Cricetulus griseus: one gene and its partner. Each later gene encodes a partner of the first gene's protein in a complex. Links are inferred from orthologs where the notes say so. Each region holds a gene or a part of one and is shown on either strand. Other genes may lie near its edges.

What was found. The genes of interacting proteins can lie anywhere in the genome.
Region 2: the proteins of Xkr8 (region 1) and Bsg are in contact, whole or in part, in a cryo-EM structure (PDB 7DCE), measured with the Homo sapiens proteins. The link is inferred for Cricetulus griseus from reciprocal best matches to the Homo sapiens genes XKR8 and BSG. Residues at the interface, in NP_060523.2 of Homo sapiens: His232, Leu236, Val239, Leu242, Trp243, Leu246, Gln247, Arg280, Gly283, Arg284, Ile287, Phe291, Ser294, Asp295, Leu298, Ala301, Thr302; in NP_001719.2 of Homo sapiens: Trp326, Pro327, Gly330, Ile331, Glu334, Val335, Leu338, Val339, Ile341, Ile342, Phe343, Tyr345, Glu346, Lys350.

What each region holds. Positions count from the first base shown.
Region 1 is NC_048595.1:20,545,429-20,547,690, forward strand, and holds the end of Xkr8 (XK-related protein 8), read left to right. Parts: coding exon 1-334; 3' UTR 335-1,725; downstream 1,726-2,262.
Region 2 is NC_048598.1:100,513,748-100,517,938, forward strand, and holds the start of Bsg (basigin), read left to right. Parts: upstream 1-1,391; 5' UTR 1,392-1,411; coding exon 1,412-1,547; intron 1,548-4,191.

The sequences.
Region 1 (2,262 bases):
CTTCATCATCAGTGACAGTACTCTGCTGGTCAGCACCTGGGCAACACATAACATCTCGTTGCCCAATGGAACCTTCTTGCCATTGTGTTTGACTTTCGGAGGAACCTGCTTCCTCCTAGGACTGACTTTGCGTCTGATGTACTACCTCTGGCTACACCCTCACTGCCGCTGGGAACCTGACCAGGTGGATGGGGCCCGAAGTCTTCTTCCTGTGATAAAGCCTAAGCGGCTTTATAACAGGCGTGCCACTCAGTTAGCACAGAACTTCTTCCCCAAGGACAAAAAGAAGTCCACTCTGCCTGAACAGGTTGGAGAGGTGGAAGGAGTCTTTTGAGGCAGGGTCTGACTCAGCCAGCGAGGACGATGTAGAGAGCTGGGCCTTTGAAGGGCCAAGGGCCAGTCATATACAAGCCATTTTCTCTTCCTTTCCAACCAATAGAGCTGCTGTCACCAAAGCCTCACATTGCCATTCTCACCTCTCAGGTAACTAACTGGTGGAGGTATTCTCTCCTGGGTTCCTTGGCCTGACTATAGAAGGCCCTGGGATGCTAGGAGATGTTCTTGAGAAGTCTTCTCTACCCCCACCCCATCCACTTCAGTTAACAAATGCTGAGAGCACTTTATGTTCTGGGAGCATCGTTCTAACTGTTGAACTGGCCGACACCCTAGCTTCTTTCCCTACCCACTTGAACAAATCTGATCTCAAAGACCAAAGCCAACGGTGACCCTGCCAGCTCCTCCAGTGTCGTGATGCAGCAGTCTCTACTCTGGCTCTTAGGCCACCTTTAAATCAAGTGCCTTATGGACCTGTGGTCTAGGCCATGCACTATCCATTGAGTGTTTTTCATTCTAGCTAGCATATGTCTCTCCTACCTCAGTCTGTGAGAGTAAGTGAACATGTGCACACGTGTTTAACAGTATTATTAAAACCGCATGAAATTCTCCAAACCACTATGTACCAGTAAGTACACTCTATCACCCTTTCTATTACAGTGGCAGGGACCTGGAACCCCTTAAAACTGGTACAGATCCCTGGAATAGAGATATGGGCCGAGTTAGGTATGACTTTGTAATAACTATCTAAATTGTTCTAGTATAATAAAAACTCAGGAGTCAGAAATTGAGATAAAGACCTGATAAACCCAAGGACAACAGAGAGCCCACTGGCTGACCTTCTCCCCACATTTTTCCTTAATTAACTCCCTAGAAATCCTCTCTTCTCTCTTCCTGTCCTCTCTAGCAGACCTCTTCATTCCTTCAAGAACTCTATAGCTAATCCCAGTCAGCCAATCACTGACTCCGTCCTTTGATTCAAGGTGGCTTTGCTGGCACAGTGGAATGGCTATACCTACAATTCTCCCACATTTCCCCTTTCAGTTGGTAGAGCATGGGACTCTTAATCCCAAGGTCATGGGTTTGAGCCCCATGTTTAGCCTTTCTCTGTCCCACTAGCTAGCTCCCAAAGGAGCACAGAGACTTATTAATTATGAAAGCTTGGGCTTGTCCCACTAGCTCTTATAACTTAATCCATTTATATTAATCTGTTTGCCTCATGGCTTTTTAGCTTTCATTCTGTATGTCTGACCCCTCTGTGTCTTGTGTCTCAGGCGCCTAGATTCATGCCTTATTTCCTCTCTGCCGGAAGTCCCGCCCATACCCTCTGACCAGCTGCTGGCCAGTCAGCTCTTTATTAAATCAATCACAACAGTGTATCTTCATACAGTGTACAGATATCTGACAGCATGACTTAATTTTGCTTTCCAAGATGTAGTAGCTCATGAGCTAGAGTGGGTTGCTCATCTGGCAGGCAGCAGAACTCACATCTGGGCAGACTCTAGTGCGTTCTCCTAGCAGCTCTGCTACAGGGCCTGGAGAGTGGCATCCTTAGGATTAGGAGGTGAGTGTGAGGGGCTGGGTGGAAAGTGAAGTACTGGGAGCCCTCCATGGGTAAGAGGAAGTGACTCCTGGGATGTGGATGTCATTGATGGTTCTGGGGGAGGGAATGTTCTTTTCTGGGAAGTCTGTGGTCTGGTGAAACAAGGAACAGGAAAAAGGTGCCAGAGGCAGAGGAAAAGGTTCTCGTTCCCAGTGTTGGGACCCGAGATAGCTCTGCCAGTCACTCATTGGCATGGGGGTAGAATAAAGTGTGACCAAATTATGTATCATCACATAGTGTCACATAGTGTCACATGCTGAAAGAAAAACAGATGGGGAGGTGAAAGGGTGTGTGTTGTGGGCAAGTTATAGCTTTACATAGAACTG
Region 2 (4,191 bases), on another chromosome or scaffold:
ACCTGTGTCTTCTGGAAGAGCAGTAAGCACTATTAAACAGCTGAACCATCTCACCAGCCTCCCTTTCCTTTTCTTTGGCATGTGTTTTTTGTTTTTGTTGGTTTGATTTTTGTTTTTGACAGGGTGCCCTCAAACTGTGTAGCCAAGACCCCCTGAACTCCTGATTCTTCTGGCTTCTATCCAGGTGCTGGAATGGCAGGTATGCACCAGCATTCCTGACGGCTTTCCACACTTTTATCTGCTAATCCAGGCTGCTCTTGGCCAGGACAGAGTCAGGCAAAAGGACTTCAGGAGGCTACAGGTCATGTTGGGTCAGGGAGGGGCCGGCCTGGGAGGGGGCTGGGGCTTCCTGGACAACCTGAAGGATCCCAGAGGCCAGAACAAGCAGGGGGTTAGGAATTCCTCACTCGGCCCAGTTTTGTTTGTTTTGACCCTAAGGCCCTTTGAGGCCAGCTGGCAGCTCCCCTGCCCTGGCCCTCTTCTGCACGTAGCTTGGCCTCTCCAAGAAGGCTTTGGGGATTCTGGACAGTTCAGAGGCCCCCAAGCCTCTGAGAGGCACTCGCGGCTGAGTGTAAGTGGGTCACGAGGCCCATAGTGATTTACCACGTTGTCGTGGTCCCTCTGACGCCAGGCTTGATCCTCATTTGAGGGCGTGAATACCCTCAAATGAGCTGCTGACCCCCGAGGCTGCTGCCGAACCCCTGGTTACTCCCACCTCCCACTTTTATTTTTGGTGGAGAACTGGGTCTATATTGCTAAGCTGATGTTCACTCCAGTGTAAGCGATCCTCTGGCCTCAGACTTCAGAGCAGGTAACACCCACAGAAGGGTTTTGTTTTGTTTTGTTTTGGAGGTTTCTTTGAGATCGGTTTTCTGCCAGACGTCCCTGGCTGTCTTGGAGCTTGTCTCTGTAGATCAGCCTGCCTCTGCCTCCAAGTGCTGGGATTAAAGAAGTGCGCCACCACCACCCGCCGATTTTTGTTTTCTCTTAACGAAAAGGAGAGTCTAGCGTGGTGATGCACTCGCCTTTAATCCACCTGCAGAGGCAGGTGGATCTCTGTGAGTTCGAGACCAGCCTGGTCTACAGCGTGAGTGCCAGGATAGGCTCCAAAGCTACACAGAGAAACCCTGTCTCCAAAACACCACCAATAACCAAAAGAAAAAAAAAAGAAAGAAAGAAATAAAAAAAACTTGAAACCACCAGGGGAGGTGGAGGATCCAGATCCCAGCGCGCTGTGGGTGTGGCCTGTGTGGTCACGTGCCAGCGCTTCCCCCCCCCACCCCCACCCCCGCGCTTTCGGCATCCACCGGACGAACCCGAGCGGCGGATGCTGAGTACGTGCCTATTCGTTGTGCGCCGTACGCCCCGCCCCGCCCCGCGACGCCGCGTACGTGCGTGCGTGCTTGCGCGCATGCGTGCGCCCCTCCCTCCCTCCCTCCTTATAGAGCGCCGCAGCGGGGCCGCGCTTGGACGAGGCGACATGGCGGCGGCGCTGCTGCTGGCCCTCGGCTTCGCGCTCCTGTGCGGCCAAGGCGCCTGCGCGGCGGGTAAGACCTGGGGCTGGGGCATGGACCTAGGTTGAATCCAGATCTGGGGGACCCACAGGTAGAGGGAGCCACAGCTTTGGTTCCCTACTCGGGGAGGAATAACTGGCTGCGAGTGACCCTCGAGTTGACCCCCGACCTGGGCTAGGCGACAGGGTGGAGGGAGGTGATCCTGGGGATGCGGCCCTGGAGAGACAAATAAAAGGTTAGGGGTCCGCGGGGCTCTGGGGAGATACTCCAAGGTTGGGGGGCCGGGATGGAGGAAGCCATCACCTGCGGTAGTCCCCACCTGGGCATGGGCTGGAAAGCAGTCCAGAGAGAACGAGCGGAAATGACCCCAGACTTGGGACAGCTGCGGATTGGAGGGACTCGCTGCCTTACTGTCCCCACTCCCGGAACAGGGCTGGGAAGTGACCCTGGGGTTTGGGGTACAGTAGCGACTATATTTGGCCTCGGTTTGGGGGAGTTGGAGAGGGTGTGGGTGGAGGTGACCCTGAGGCTGGGACAACACTCCTAAGGTTGAGTGGTCATGGACGGAGCTACTATGTCGTTAACACCTGGATGTCAGGACTGGGAGGTGACCCTGGAGATTGACCGCCTCCTGGTTTAGGGACGGCACGGGGCGTGGGGTGGGGGCCGGAGGATCATGGCCAGGAGGGAATCCCAGGACATCTGGGAGAGATTTGTAGCATTTTCGGGTGCGGGACAGCAGTGCTGCAGGTGGCTTCCTTCAGATTTGGGGAGACCTAGGGGCTGAGGAAGCTGCCATTGTGGGAAGATTCCCAGCCTAGGGAACATGTCAGGAAATAACCCCAAGGTGTCCCTGCTCAAGGAACAGGATAAGAGTGACAATCCCTGCCGGGCCGTGGTGACACTTGCCTTTAATCCCAGCACTCGGGAGGCAGAGGCAAGCGGATCTATGTGAGTTCGAGACCAGCCTGGTCTACAAGAGCGAGTTCCAGGACAGACTCCAAAGCCACAGAGAAACCCTGTCTTGAAAAACCAAAAAAAAAAAAAGAGAGAGAGAGAGTGACAATCCCTAATTTGGGGAGGCTATGGATGGATGAGAGGCAGCCTTTCCTGAAACGTTTGGGGGAACTGGGAGACTAGAGTGTAAGGATCTACCTTGAGGTTGTGATAATGAAAAACAAACCACCAATAATTTGGTATGTCCACTCAGAGGAAAACATTGAGAGACAACTTGAGGGGGGTGGCCCTGCTGTAGGGGATGGGGTGGGGAAAGGTGCCACATTGATGTTTCTACTTAGTGAGTGGAGGACTACAGCACTGTTTGGGGAGCCTGGAAGAATGAGAGTAAGTTGGCCATGGGATGGGGCAGCATTGCCTGTAAGTAATGTCCTCGAGTCTGGAGGATATGGAGTTCAGAGGTTCCCGGGGATGATGTATCCCAGGCTTGAGGGACTGGGGTTGAATTGAGTCTGTTGTCCTGATGGTGTTACCTGGAGGTCGGGTGGGGAGTTCTGAGAGTGGCAGTTCCTTCCCATCCCTAAGTTTGGAAGAGTCCCAATTAGATCATCAGATGTCCCCAGCTGTCCCTGTCCTCGTTGGAGTGACATCCCGGGCTTGCCATAGTCCACAGGGGCTATATTGGTCATCCCTGGTCCTTGGCAATGGCCAGTGTCCTTGCTCCTGGGAGAAGGAGATAGATGTCCCCTCTGGGCTGGAATCAAAGCTCTAGGTTGCTCCTCTGATTTAGGACTCCCCTGGAGTGAGTGCCTGCGAATGGCCCTGGGTCACAGTCCCAGGGACTTGTTGGATTATCATTCTTGATGAGATTTCTAGTGGCTGAGGCCCAACACTCTCAGCTTGTCCCCACCCTGGAGTCTGGCCCATTCTAGCTTTGGGTTTTTGCCTGATTGGGGCTCAAAAGAGAAACTGAGGCCAAGGTGGGGAAGGCTGGTGTTCAAGGTCATGGCAAGGTTGAGTTTAGAAGGCAGTGTAGCAGGCCTGAACACATGGCTGCCCTCTTGCCTACTCCAGACAGAGCAGGCAAAGGGCAGAACCTGAGCTCTACTGAAGAAGCAGGGCACATGGCTGCCACCCCCATCAGCAGTGGATTTGGGAGGGGGCTGTGCCTGGCAGCAGTGTCCGGGTTAATCCTGACCCACTTTTCCCTAGTCCCTCTTCCTCATCCAAACATCTTGAGGTGCCCCCATGTGACTGGCTCTTGGGTGCAGATAACTGCCCCCTCCGGCAAGGTGGATGCCACTGATAAACTCCCTGTACAGGCTACAGTTCCCCACCCTGCCTGGGCACAGGCCCAGTGGCTTCCTGCCTGGGGTTAAGTAGAACTTTGCCGTGCCCGGGAGCCAAGCACAAAGTGTAGCTTGCAGGCAGGTCCCAGCCCTTCCTGGGAACAGCCCAAGAGCCAAACAGCCTGGGCAGGGCTCAGGTCAGCCTGCAATGTTCCATTTTCACTGTCCGCTGCACAGTGGCGGGGTGCTCTGCTCAGAGGGCCTGTGTGGCGCGGACATTTCTGTTTTGTTTTCCTGGTGTGTGAGGCTGGGGTTTAACACTAGGGTCTCTTACAGGCTGGTGTGAGCATTCCACACCCGGTTTCTCACAGCCTAGAGTGCAGTTGCTTTCCCAGTGGCCATCCAAGTCTGACAGAATTACATGGTAGGAG